Linked DNA regions of Mus musculus: region 2 is reported to be linked to region 1. Evidence: microRNA targets listed by miRTarBase, many of them from high-throughput screens and not tested one by one. Region 1 holds a microRNA gene; the other region holds the end of a gene's coding sequence.

The links. Region 1 holds the annotated microRNA mmu-miR-340-5p (UUAUAAAGCAAUGAGACUGAUU, at 4,016-4,037, opposite strand). A microRNA usually pairs through its seed, bases 2 to 8, with sites in the 3' UTR of a target mRNA and lowers its output. Matches are read on the target gene's strand: a 7mer-m8 pairs with bases 2 to 8, a 7mer-A1 pairs with bases 2 to 7 and ends in A, and an 8mer does both.
Region 2: the mRNA of Rbm18 is a reported target of mmu-miR-340-5p. The part of its 3' UTR that is shown has no 7-base or 8-base seed match.

What each region holds. Positions count from the first base shown.
Region 1 is chr11:50,066,757-50,073,756 of GRCm38, reverse strand. Mir340 (microRNA 340) reads right to left here and starts at 4,055; the gene lies at 3,958-4,055. It overlaps Rnf130 (ring finger protein 130), which reads right to left. Exons shown (of 9, transcript NM_021540.4): 3 at 2,336-2,586.
Region 2 is chr2:36,111,540-36,119,662 of GRCm38, forward strand. Rbm18 (RNA binding motif protein 18) reads right to left here. Exons shown (of 6, transcript NM_026434.4): 6 at 4,540-6,435. The coding sequence ends at 6,276. Among named protein-coding and RNA genes, the nearest start is that of Lhx6, 12 kb to the left of the region's middle.

The DNA.
Region 1 (7,000 bases):
AAAAATTAGAAAGAACTAAAACCAGAATTTCTCTGATCATAACACAAGCAAATCAAGCACCATTAGCTCTACCCCACAGCAGACTCTAAATTGGAAACGAGGCAGTTCTTAATACACAGGTCGAAGAAGTGTTAAGTGAAAAAATATTCCAGGCTGACTGAGCATGCTGGTGCATGCTATCATCCCAGCACATGGGGGGCCTGAGGCAGGAGAACACACAACTGAATGAAAGCATGTGCCGAAACCAGTTAGGGAGAGCTAAAACAGTGCAGAGAGAAATGTATAGCACAAAATGTGTGCATTACAAGAGAAACCACTTCAGTCAAATGACCTGTTGACTTGATCTAAAATGTAATGCTTTAAACATTTAAAGAAAATCTTTGTGTGATAAAGAGCTTTTTTACAATTGATACCAAACATACAGTTTCAAGGAAAAATTCATATTAAACTTTACCAAAATTAGAAAATCCTTAACAATTTGTTTTTCAAGACTATTAAAGTGACTGAATAGACAAACTGGGAAGAAAATATTTTAAAGCACATTATCAGACATAGCAAATATCATATCTAAATACATAAAGAGTCTAAAAACTCAATGGTAAGGAGTGGTTAAGAGCACTGGCTGCTCTTCCAGAGAACCTGGGTTCAATTCCTAGCATCCATACGGTGGTTCACAACTGCCTGTATCTCCAGCCCCAGGATATCTAACACTCTCCCTATTTTCCAAGGTGACTGTATGCAAGTGGTGCACAGAGACAAGGATTTAAAATCCTCAACAGTAAAAGACAAAGAATTCAGGAAGAAAACAGGGAAGAGACTCAAGACATTTCACTGAAGCACTTGAAAATATGCTCAGGGTAGGGAGATGGCTGTCAGCATGGTGCCTGCTATACAAGTATGAAGACATGAAACTACATTTCTGTACCCACAAACTTGGGTGCAGTGGACATAATACACACACACACACACACACACACACACACACACATACACACACACACACACAGATGCTCATATAGGTGACAATGGGAGAAATGCACACTATAATCACAAAAGAAGTGTTATTCTATCAAATCATGTCAAGATGTGGAGAAACTGGAACAGCCACACACTGGAAAAGGGCACACTTTAAAAACAGCAACAACAACAACAAACCTGAATTAAACATTTATTTATTCAGTATTATACTTTTATTCTAGGAAAATGAAAACTCATGGTCAGACAAAAACCAGTACATGAACATCATAGCTAATTTATTAGACTCCCTAGCTGAAAATTATTCAGCTATCCTTCAATAAGTGAATAGCTAAGTAAATTATAGTACATCCATACCGTGGAATAGTACTCAGCAATAAAAAGAAAATTACTTATGTGTACAGCTTGGAAGGACTTCAAGGGAACTCTGCTGAACAAAGAAGAAACACAGCTCTCCAGGTGAAGTACACTCTGTCTATTCAACACTCTTGAAATGGCACTAGATGAAGATTAAGTTAGTGGTGCTGAACGGTTAGGGGAAGGGAGAGTCTCTGGCTATGAGAGAATATTGGACCCTTTCCTTACCAAAAAACAAACAAACAAACAAACCTGTCCTACAGCTTTTGTGCTGAGTACATGAATCTGCATGTAATGGAGTTGAACAGAAGCACACATGTCCATGAGCACATATTAAACAGGACAGCTCTAAAGACATCAGTGGGCCCAGTACAGCCATGGATCTGTGCTGTGATATTCACTACTGTTGGGCAAGATGCAACCACTTGGGAAATGGATCTCTATTGCTTCAATAAATAAGAGCAAGGTTACCACTACCCTAATACTAAAAGGAGCTGGTGATGCTGACAAAATGCAAACAACCTTGACCGAAACCACAAGACACAGGACACAGACCTGTGCTCTTCTGAGATGCCAGTATCAGGAAGCAGTAAAGAGACAGCACAACTAAATGTAACACACATTCTGGCCTAACTAATCTGGGGTTTTTGTTGCCCTTAAGGATACTTCTAAGCAGTTCTGGAGAACCTGAGAGAGCCGATAGGTCAGGAAATGTACTGAAAGGACATTCATTTACTGACTTTGATAGTTACAGTGTGATTATGTAGAACAACATTTTCTTTCATTTCTTTTTCTTTTTAAAACTGAGATAGAATATGGCCTGGAACGCCTGCGTAGTCCAACTGGCCTCAAAACCCCGAGTGCAGGTATTACAGGGTACAGCACCATACTTGGCATGTTTTTATCTTGTTGTTGTTGGTCTTGTTTTTAAATATATGACATAAACAAGTATTATCACAAGATCCTCATGGATTACGGCTGGCTAGAGTACTGGTTAGCTCACCTGGTTCCTGTCCCGAGCATTTGTGTACCTGATCTTCTGAATGAAGTAGAATATGAGCCACGCTGAAGAAATAATCATCAAAACAATAAAGGAGATTGACACGAAGACTAGAGAGCCACGGCTGAAGTTCTTTGGCGGCATTCGAGTTCCAACAGCTATTGTCATTTGTACAGAGATGTTTTTCTCCAGATAACTCAAAATATCCTTACCCCTCAATTCTGTTATCATGACAGCAATAATATCTCCCGTGCCTGTAATGTAAAACAAATACACAGACTAAAGTGACATCTGAAATTCATAGACACATCAAATAAATATACACATATGCTCCATAGAGAAATTACCATAATTTTCACTAAGGTTTATAGATTCCAGTTCAACTGACATGAGGCTGCAGCTGTGTAAACTGACAGGCATGAGAACATGTACAGTGCTCCAAACAGGTAACGCATAAAGCAACTGTGGTGTTAACAATGCACAAACTGCCTTACCGGTGCATTAGAAGCACTGTGAAAGCAGCCACCTGTGACTAAATCAGGTTAAGTCTTCAGTAGAAAACCTTTCTATAGCAATCAATCTGGAAAGTTCTGACAGAGAAGCACTGTCATTTACAGTCTGAACAGGTGGTCCTTGCACTACTCATCCTCACACGCACTGCTGAGCAAGGACTGCTCTAAGAAACAGAAAGAAGGGTACTTCTTAGGGCACACACTTGGCTATGGAGTGACAAGTGCCGAACGGCAACATCTTTTACCAACAACCTTTGAAACTAACTTTGGTCTTCTGTCTACAGTAAAGCTCCTTCCAGGGCACTTCTGGAGCTCAAACGCAACAATTTTCCCACCCAGTTTGGAGCCAGCATCTCACATTGCCTCGGCTAGCCTCAGACTTGAGTTTTATGTTAGTTTTCCACCTTGTTTAACCATGCCCAGCGCACTCAAATCCTCTAGGCAGGCCCAAGTTTCAACTTTCTGGACTACTACCCATAATGATACCTAAAACCTTCAGTTCCTAAAAGCTGTTCAGAGTTCTGCCCACAGGCACAACTTTTATAAGTTAATTACAAGGATGGTTCAGTTGTGTTTTCAAGTCCTTTTCTCACATGGCTTCAAGGGCCTGTTTTAAGTCAGAGTGAGCAGCTACTCACCAAGGTCACTTTTGTGAGTATGAAGGAGGATTGTGCATCCAAACACAAAATACCCTCTCAAAACAGCAAGCAGAGACCCCAGACCTGACCTTTTGAAGGCTCTGTCAACAAATATTAGAAACACTTGTTTTGATTTCTTGTTACCTTTAGCAGTCAAGATGAGACACAACAGAAACTCAGTAACAGAAGTTTTGAAAAAAATATAGCTCAATGGAATATATATTTGCATAATACTGTATTCAAAACGGTTTATTCACTTTATTAGAGTAGTAGTTTACCAGTTTATTTTTGCTTAAAAAATCTATAAACAAAAAGGAGACAACAAAATTAAAACTAGCATTATTAAGTTAACATCTGCCTCTGGTGAGTGAGTTAAAAAGAATCATAAAAGAATGCTAAACCAGTTTAAATTTCCATTTAGAAACCTTAAGTTTGTGCTTTTACAATGTTGATCAACAGGCATGATCTGTGGTGTTAAGATACCAGGTATGGCTATAAAGTAACTGAGACGGATCCCACAAACGACATATGACAATCAGTCTCATTGCTTTATAATCACACCAAGTACAATTGGTTTTAGAAATCAGTTCTGAGGCTCCCTCTTGAAGACTCAAGCTGGAAGTGGGGAGAGCTGCACAGGTAGCCAAGGCAACCAATCCAGTAATTTCCTTAACCGAACACTAAATGGGCGCGTCAACTAATCTCAACAGGAAGCTGTTTGGGAAAGAAAAATTTAATTAGTTCAACACTTGTCAATATTCACTGTTAGGAGGACAAGAGTGAATAGATCTCACTGTAGCTTTATCATCCTAGCAAAAAGAGGAGACTGGGCAATGTTGCCAAAGGAGACTGAAAATGATCAAATAAAAAAGTACAGCAGCACATCTGATATTAGTGAAGGCAGTGATCTCTTACAGAAGGTGATGAAGCAAACTACAAACCCTCCTAGGAAAAAAGTTTCTTTCTCCCCAACATCTAGAGCTGGGCTGGGTTCAAAGAGCCTAACAAGATGGCTCAGACATTTACAAATGGGGATGGGACTAAAGAGATGGCTAAGAGCACTGGTTGATCTTGCAGAGGACGAGGTTTGGTTCCCAGCATCAATATGGCAGCTCATAACTACTGTAACTCCAATTCTAGAGGGAACAGACACTCTCTTCTGGCCTTCGAGGGCTCTGTACACATGGTGCACATAGACTCATGCAGGTATACACACACACACACACACACACACACACACAATAAAAAAGTAAATAAACCTTAAAAACAAAACAAAAAACTCTTGGGAGAGTTGGTGCAGATTCAGGAGGGATGATGACAACAGAGGAAACTTAACCCTCAGGATAAAACTAGGATTAGAGTAGCAGTAGCTGGTAGGAGAGAGGGGTTAATTAGACTGAAGTAATGGAAACATTAAACAGATACAAAGAATGTGACCAGATCACCCCTATGCCTGTGTTCTGAAACACCAAGACATGGCTTTGGAGTTCAACAATCATGCAGCTATGTGTTCCTTTTCTACTGCTGTGGTTAAACATCATAGCCAACATAACGTATACAAGGAGGGGCTTGTTTGGCTTATAGTTCCATCATGGTGGGGAAGAATGGCAGCAAACTGTAGGTAGGAACTGGATGCCAAGAACTCACACCTTTTTAAAAACACTGTTAATTTCAATTATGTGTTTATGTGTGTAGCTTTGTGCATGCAAGTTATAGTTGCCTGTGGAGACCAGGAGTCACAGACCCCCTGGAAGGGGGGATACGGGCAGTTGTGAGAGACCTGTTGTGGGTGCTGGGAATTGAACTCAGGTTCTCTCCATGAGCAGAAGAATGCCCTGGAAACCTCTGAGTCATCTCTCCAGTCTCACATCTTGAACCATAAGCACTAAGCTGAGAGAACAGCAGTAAATTTTGGGAATCTTTAAACTTTCAAAGCTGGACTCTACTAATACACTCCTCTTCCAACAAGGCCACACCTCCAACACATCCCCAAATGATACCATGCACCTGAGACCAAGTGTTCAAATACGGGCACCTATGGAAGATTTTCTCACTCACACCACCATAGCTAGTATTAATTCTTAGAGATGGCAGTGAAATAAAGAATATTATGAGTATTATTATAATCCCAGCACTCTGGAGGCAGAGGCAGGTAGATCTCTGTGAGTTGGAGGCTAGCCTGGTCTATAGAGCGAGTTCCAGGACAGTCAGGGCCACACAGAGAAACCGTGTCTTGAAAAACAACAACAACAAAAAGTTATTACTTAACCTCATGTTTATATGTATATGCGTGTGTATCTACCTGTCACTGACTCCCTGGAACTGGTGTTACAGGTGACTGTGAACTGTCCCATATGAGTTCTGAGAACCGAACTCTTTGAGAGAACAGTAAGCACTCACAACTACTGGACCATCTTGCTAGCCTGCCAATTTATTCTTTAATAGGAATTTATGTTGTTTTAGTAACTTAGCATGGCTACTTAAATTTGCAATTCTTCCCTGTAATTCTTCCCTTTTTATTCTGAGAATTTTCTTTTCTTTTTTTCTTCATAATTTACTTATTTTTATTCTATGTGTATTGGTATTATGCCTGCATATACAGACGTTCGTGTGTGAGAGTGCCTGGAACTGGAGTTATAGACAGTTGGGAGCTACCATGTGGGTGCTGGGAATTGAACTCTGGTCTTCAGGAAGAGTAGCCAATGCTCTTAACTGCTGAGCTATCTCCCCAGCCCCAGTATTTTAGGAATTTTCAAATGGAACAGTTTCCATAGTATGGGAGCTTTCAGATAATCTTTGTTTAGATTTGCAAACAGGAAACACTTCTGCCTTTCTACACGAATTTTTTTTTTTTTTTTTTTTGCTGGACCAACTGAGAGCAGATTGTAACCAATAGGACATTTCAATCTTTAATAATTCAACAGTTCTCCTAAGAACAAGGTTACTTCAGATGCACACAATTTATTAATTATATTAAACTTTTACTTCTGATAAAATGTATTTAGTGTTTAATATACTTCGTATTCAGCTATTCTGACTCAGCCTAACAATTCAACCAAGGGCTATGGACCCTGTACCTGGTTGTCTTGTCTCATTAGTTTTCTGAAGGGCTCTAGCATGCCCATGGCACTGCCAGGCCTTGCCTTTTCCCTCCCTCTCTCCTGTAAACCACAGATTATATCCCTAAAGCTAGGCATAAAGGCCTATTCCCTCATTTGGACATTTTCTCATGTAGACTCATTCCTGAGGCTATAAAGGTCCACCAATCAAAACCCCCATGTTAATAACATGACCAACAAACCTTATCACTACATCCTAGCCCACTGTAACACAGCCCCCACTTTTTCTCTTCTCAAAAATTACACCTGCAAAGTCACTTGCTGCTGTTTTTCTGCCTAAGTTAGAGAGCAACCATTTTTACCTTTACTATCAGCTTAATAAGGGATTTCTCTGTGAAAATGGTGTTTGTGTGTGGTTTGTGCCTAATCTGGGCTCTGGGAGGGAGCCCAGCACTGTGA
Region 2 (8,123 bases), not on the chromosome of region 1:
AGGTTCCTGGCACATGAGCTTTGTCTTCCTTTCAGTGGTGATCACTGTTAAATGACAAAGCAGATTGTATGGTGATAGATGCTAAAATAGAATTTAGTATTTAAAGAGCAGAGAGGTAGTAAGTAACTGCTTTGGGTCAACCTTTATAGATTTACAGAAAGATATATTAGGCAAGTGTCGGAGAGCTGCTAGCTGGGCGAGCATTACTTTCTAAGCAGAAGGAATGCCTTTACAAGAATTCTGTATGGGGCAGGGATGATGGTCCATGAATCTGGGAGATTCTCTAGTTTGTACTATCGAGTCTCCTGGGGCTAGGGGACAGCACACTGGGGAAACTGTAAAAGCACCGAAGCCTGGTTTATTCTACACATACAGGTACCTGGACAGAGCTTACTTCCATAGCAATTAAATCCCAAGCGCTCTTATGCTGACCATTTGCTCTCTCCACCCCCCTCCCCCTACCTATGGCTCTCTACTTAAGTCCTTGGCTTAGCACAGCCATTTTCTGGGAAAACATTATTCACTCATCTCTGCCCCTACCTGGGGCAGAGATCTCTCCTCTGTTCTTGTTTTATCACAGTATGTGACCATATATTGGGATTAGATTCTATCATCCTTATGGCCATAGTCTATGGCTGTGGAATATGTTTCCTTAGCTGTGGGGAGGGGCAAAAACAGCTTCTCAAATAGTAGAAATTTTAGGGAGGAAAAAAGGCTACCTACCACTTTAATGATCTTTCTTTTTTTTCATTCATTAATTATTCATTTTATATCCCTGTTGCTGTCCTCCTTCCTCCTGGTCCCACACTTACACAGTCCCTCCCTCCATCCCCCTCCCCTTCTTTCCTGAGAAGGGGGAAGGTCCTCTTGGGGCTTTAATGATATTTCTATCCTAGTCACAGGGCATATGGAAACATAAAATGTCATTCTGTGTAATCAATACTCCTAATAAAAGTTGGGCTGAAAGTGAATGTAAAAAGGTAACACCTGTGCCCTATGTTCTGGGACAGATCTCATTGGTCTGATTGCTTGAACCCAAGATTCAAATCTCTCTCCTCTCCAGAGACCACTAGGAAGAGAAGAGCTTTGCCCACGAAAGGATGTAATCAAAAGGGAACCACAATCCAGAGACAGACCTCTAGACGTATCATATGAATACCTGAGATTTTTAGTTACAGGAGCCAGTAAAATTCATACTACAAGGTGGTTGGAACATTGATTTTTGTCACATGAGCTGAAAGAATTCTGACTGGGACTGGAAAACTAACTCAGGGACATCTGATGCTAGTGTGCACATGGCTTGGCTTCCTCATGTGGTCAATGAGGAGGTTGCAGTCATTTGCAGTACAGTGATACTAGGTTGGTATAGGCAATTCCCTATTCCAGAGGCAAATAAGAAACTAGCAACAGGAGGCTGGCGCAATGGCTGCTCTTCCAGAAGACAGGGTCTCAGTTCTCAGGACCCATGTGTCAGCTCATAACTATCTCTGACACCAGTTCTAGAGGACTTGACTCTCTTCTGGCCTCTGAGGGCACTGGATGCACATGGTGCACATACATGCAGGCAAAAACAAACAAACAAACAAACAAACAAACACCCAAAACCAAAAACCAACCAAACAACCTCCAAAACCAAACCAAACAAAAAACAACCAAAAAACCCTCTCATGCACATAATAGATATGGAGAAAGGAGAAAATAATAACACTCATTGCATACCATTATGTCATCTGCTTCCTGTACTTTCTATACTTACCATGGTGGCACCATGGTTGTGGAATAAGTATGTTTCCTCGGCAGAAAGACATTTCCAGTAACAGGGCAGTTTAGAGCAGATATGTATATACTTCAGGCTTTGAGGACCCATGAATTTTTGGTGTAACCACTCGAATGTTGCTAGAGTGAAAAATGGCCTGAGAATCAATAATGTGAATTCATGAGGACATCTGTGTTCTAATTAAAACTTCCTTGGACCCTGAAATTTGATTTTCATGTGCCACAAGATGATAGTCTTTGACTTTTTCCCTCAACCACTTACATTCACAGCTGTACAAAAAGAGGCAGCGTGTGTCACTCTGCCGAGGCACCACCTACTTGGGGAGATGCTTGTAGGCCTGACATATTTAGATTCTACCTAAAGCTCTTCTATTGTGCTGTGCTTGAAGTACATAATAAAGTACACGAGGTAGGCTACCTTATAGCTAAAGGAGAGAGGTTAACTTCAGCACAGTTCTGGAGGTCCACCAGTAGTCAAGGGATGGCATCTAATGATGGCCTTCTTACTGACAGGGTCTTGAGGTTTACATGTGAGGTATGCAAGATGACTCTCAGGGAGTAAGCATGCATACATGCACCTACTGGTCCTCCTCCCCTTCCTTGTCCCTCTTCAACTTTCCATTTTCTTTTTTCTTGAGACAGGGTCTCACTGTAGCTTTGGCTGGCTTGGAACTCACTCTGTAGACCAGGCTGGCCTTGAAGTCACAAAAATCCACCTGCCTTTATATCCTAAGTGATGGGATCGAAGGCATGTGCCACCAACTTGGTTCAATTGTCCAGCCTTTTAATACTTCACAATGGGGGCTCAGCTTCATCACATGAACCCTTGAAGGACACACTGAAACTGTGCCATCTATTAATTGTATGATCCTGTGTAAGCCCCATCATCTCTCTGGGTTTCCCTACTTCCCACCTGGATCACAAGGGAGTGGCGTAGGATGGTCTCAAAAGTCTCTTCGAGTTTCAAGCAACTGGCATCCTAGTATCTCACTCAGCAATTTCACTGAGCATGTGCCACACGATAGGCACTGTTTAAAAGTCTGGTGACAGGGCAGTGACAACGTTCTTTCTTGAAGTCAACATTATATTTAAACAGAGGACAGATATCCAATTATATAGAATGTTGGGTAGTGGTGAGTTAGTTCTATTTAGAAAATAAGAAGGCAAGAAGTGGAAAGCGGCAGGGATGTAATTTTGACGGGAGGCCAAGGACAGCCTCTTAATCACTGACACGTGAGGAGAGAAATGAGCAGATGGTGTGGGCTCAAGAGCATCTCAGGCAACAGCAGCTAATGGAACCTCTCAGGGAGTTGTTCCCTTGTACCCAAAGGAACAGGGAGGCCACTATGGCTGAGGACAATGACTGATGGGGGAAGAAGCCATATGGGAGACGGTAGTTAAGTGTAAGTCGTTTGGGACCATATAGATCTTTGGATTATAGTCTAGATGTGATGGAAAGCCGTCAAATGTTTGTTTATTTATCTAAACTTTTAAAAGTCTTGCTATGGTGTGCAGGCTAAGACTTTCTGGACTTAAATGGTTCTACTTCTGCCTCTCAAGTAGCTATGACTACAGATACATGCTACTGTATATAGCTTGAGAATGACATTTCAAAACAATTTTTAAAGAAGGCTTGTGGGGTCTTGTGACAAGATTTGTTATCCCAGCTGCTTGAGGTCTGAGACACAAGTTCAAGGCCTACTTGGGTTATAGCATGTGATAATTTCTCAACATGAAAAAACAAGTAAAGGGCTAAGTATGTAGTTCAACGATAAGAGCACTTATCTAGTGTATGCAAATTCCTTCGTTCAACTCCCTCAGTTCAAATACTCTCAAGCAGGGCAACTTTAGAGGTGGGGGCAGGGGGTGGTGCAGATTATTAGTAAGGTATTGCAAGATGGACCATATAGGAGCTAGAAGAAAAAAAAAACCAAAAAGAGAAATCAAGGACAGATTTGTGGGGTTCAAATATTTTAGGAACACGGTGATTATACACAGGAAATGTTTAACATTTAATTTATAAGGCAAGAATACCTTGATCTTTTCTGCCCTAGTATAAGAATCAGAAATGGATGGGTGAATTTGGAAATTAGCTGCTCATCTTTGTAAGAGATGGGGTTGTAGAATGCATGGCTTCATAAAAAAGAGCTTTCCTGATTTACAGCATGCTTTGAGTAATGTCTCCTCAGGTGACCCCTCCCCCAAACACTGAGGTGCCAAGTAAAGAAACCCAACAGGTTAGAGTAATGTCACACTTCCACCTTAGTATTCCCATCAACCCTCCAGTCCTACCTAAGTATTCCCATCAATTCTCCACTCAAGTCAAAATTAAAAGTGAGATGATGTTGACAAATAGCAACCGAAGAATAATTTCAAAGTACAGACGATCTCTTAATAGCCTGGGTTAACAGCTGTAATTCAAAGCTTCTCATCAGACCCTTTCAGTGTATTTACAATGTGCACATTCATTCTGTGAAAACTTGTACTTAGAGAGAAGGAACATTCATGGCATGCAGGGACTTCAACCTCCTACTTTCCTTTCAGCCACCTGTGCCAGGAGGCCACCTAGTCCCCTTCCTCACCTCTAAGGGCAAGGCTAGGCAGGGAAAGGGATGAAGAGACTTGGCCCGTGGAGCCTTTTGGAAAGAAGGCACTTGAAAGCAGCACGTCACGTGGATAAGCTCCTGGCCGATTTGAGTGGAAACCAGTCTACCAGAAAGTTGTGATCCAGGACGTGGATGAAAGACAATAAGACCACATAGATACTGTCGTCTTGCGTTTATTCACATAGAGGGGTAAGAATTGGTACAAATCATAGACATTGTTTAAATACAAATAAATAGTTCTAGATTCTAAAGAAACAACTCTAGATAATCCTAAGTATTCTCTAGGTTCCTATTAAAAATAGAAGGCTATTGGCATCAAATTCTACTCCACCACAACCCTTTGAGAACTTAAGGATGAAATGGTGAATTCTATATTCTAATAAGTCACCAGACAAATGGGAGCCGGTGTTCCCACTTCCCTGAATGAGCTCCCAAGTGGAAGGAGAGTTTCCCACATCACAGATACACACAACTGATAAATCTGGGACATATTCAGTATCTAAAGATAGCTAAAAAACCGACTTGGGAAAAGCAGTAAGAATTCCTCTGAAACAGTTCTGTGGATTCTGAAACCCCAGAAGTTAAGTCAAGTGTCTCTACAACCCAAGTCATCATGGGTGGCACCTGTGGTGAGCGACAGTGACCTGCTCAGTGAAGAACGGTGTTGCTAATGAACAGTCTGTCAGGCCCGGCACCAATTCAATCAGCACTGAGCTGAAGAAACACATTCCCAAGGCTGTCTGTCTATGTGTGTCTCTATACTACCATGTTCATATCTCCAAGGAGACAGAGATATCTGGAGAGAAGCATGCTTTCAGGGTAACGTTCAGTTTTAGGCCGTGCGGTCTTCCAAAAGGACAGAACGAGTGTGGTTGTTACGGTCTTGATGCCTGAGCACCGGCTGCTGACTCCTGCTGCTCACTGCACTTTCTCTCTCAGCTGCAACAAGGTCACTCAGCTGCTTCTTACAGCCCCATACAACTGTGACAAAGTAATGCTTGACAGTAACCAATACAGCAAACTTTAGGTTTTCAAAGAAATTCTGCTTTTCTATTTAGATTGATCATGATACAGTTCTAACTGCAACAACCCCATGCTATAAAACAATCTCATGCAGTAAGTGTATTAAAACCCGGGTTAGTAATAACATTTGGTATTATAGAAGGCAAGGTCATTCAGATTCAAAACCATGATTGCCAAAGAATAAAAGCTGGATTTCCAAATAGAGTATCTGTTGTGGTATAAAATGTTAAATGTGTCTCTACACTTTGACGACATAAACAATTTTAAGACGTATACCACATTTTCCTAACTGAGATTTGGAAATAATAAGCATAATTCTTAAACAGACTGCTACAACATTCACTCAAGGGATCAGCTGCTTTTTGCCAAGAATTCTCTTTTGAATTCAACTGAAGGATTTCTACAGTACATTCCCAAACAGTTCTAAAAATGACTGTAAACGTCTCTCACTTTCCACCCTCACCCTTATTTTTTGTTTATGTTGAAGAGAAGTGTACACATAAAAATGCTAAAAGTTTTTGGTGGATGTTAATACATTTAGTTTCCTGATTTAAATAACAACGTTGTATGCTTGTTTTTCTCTCTGGCACATTGTGTTTCTGGAGTTACAAATCCAAACAAAGCAGCCAACTAGCGCATCTCAGTGTTCACATCACAGTCTGGACACATTCCTATTTATTCTGGATGATGCTCAATTCACACATAGTTCAGGGAAGACACATCCATATGAACACCCAAACACGCTATGTCACCGGCCCTAACAAGAGACTGTGCTCTGTTGGTAGTACCATTCACATCTACACAGTACAGAGGCGAAGGACTTCAGACGTGGAGACCATTTGCTTCTGCTGCTCTGGTAATTCACGACCATCATCTTCGAGACTTCCAGGCTGTTCTAGAGTAAGGAGTAGTCCTTTTTTTATCAGGTGGTTTAAAGTAGGAATAAACAGGCGCTGCTGGGTACTCTGCATCAGGATTTTCTGCCATCATTTTCAGCTTTGCTTCAATGGCTTTTATCTTTGCAGTGACACTGGAAAAAGCACAGCAGAGGGTCAGAGTGGGCAGAGATACAGACACCCAGAAAACACTTGCATCTCTCCCCTTCTTATGCTGATGTGTTTTAGGACAACACGACATAAAATTATAAACATGAAAACGAAGCCTGAAAATCAGTTATGTTTTTATAATATAAGCCCAGGCAGAGTTGTGCATATGTCATACACCCTTACATAGTCAGTCCTGAGACACAGACTTTAGGCAGTATCCCAGTGCTTGTCAGAAAGTAAACAAAACACAAGACTGACAATGGTGTTAAAGGTAGGTTCTATTTCTTATTTTGCAAATGTTAAATGGCTCACGAGTGAGAGTTGAGAAGTGGATACAAACTGGCTCAAAGACCCATGTTATTAACTAATACACACTACCATACCTGTTCAGCCACTGAGTAATATAATTTTTTCTTTTTTTTTTTAGAAATCTTATCAAGTCTTTTTCTCTTGTGTGTGGATGTTTGACCTGCATATGTGTTTGCGCCTGGTGCTCCCAGAGTCTAGTAGAGTGCATCAGGTTCCCTAGAACTGGAGTCCCAGACAGTTATGAGCCACCACGTAGGTGCTGGGAATTGAACCTACATTCTCTAGAACAACAGCTAGTGTTCTTTAACCTCTGAACCATATCTACAGCCCCGAGTTTATTTTTATTAACAAATATGTTATAGTGAGCCAGACACCCACCACTGTCAGGACTTTATTGCTTCCAGTCCTTACTAATAACACAAGAAGGGTTACCCTCAGGATTTTATGAGATAAATACAAAGGGACATAAATGTGCCCAGGGTTCACAGGGCTAAACTGTAGGATGGCGCACGCCTTTACTCCCAGCACTCAGGAGGCAGAGGCAGGCATATTTCTGAGTTCTAGGCCAGCCTGGTCTACAAAGTGAGTTCCAGGACAGCCAGGGCTACACAGAGAAACCCTGTCTTGAAAAAACAACAACAACAACAAAAAAGATTCAACCTATTTCTTTGTCAAAAAGCCTTTGTTTTCCCTCTGCATCAGAGAGGAAGTATTACAGCTCTGCAGATACAGAGAGGAGGAAGTGAGGGAGAGATGCTGCATAAGCCATGAATGGGGTCACTGCAGTCTCTGCAATCAAACGCAAAGCACTCAGGCTGTGACGCTGTGCTGCCTCAGATTCCCCTTCTCATTCTTGATGCTGTCAATGGGCTATAGTGTGTAAGGAGTGTCCACACAGTCTTCTACAGATCTGCAGATGGCATACAGCAGTCGAACATTCCCATATATTTTTGTGGGCAACCAATTAAAAACTAAATCAATAAGAAGGGATCAAACATGGGAAAAGGCAGTTGTTTTCCCTGTATGCATGTATCCAAACATCACGTGGACCACACAAAAACATGCAATTTTTTGAAATTCATGCTATCAGAAGTAGCCCTACATTGTATTTCTAAGGGCATTACATTGTGTTTCAAAGATCTATTTTGGTTTTTCTCCCATCTGCATAAGTCATAGGAAAATACGCTCCTGTACTGAAGCACAGTTGTAAATAGAAAGATAAGGACTGAAAGACTCTTGATTAAAAAGTAGATGAAAAACACCAGGCTATGGTAAACAAGCTGCAGGCACAGAGGGAAAAGTTAAAGCCATGCTCACTATCACAGGGAGACCATTGAGCATAATCTAGAGAGCAGTGCAGGAG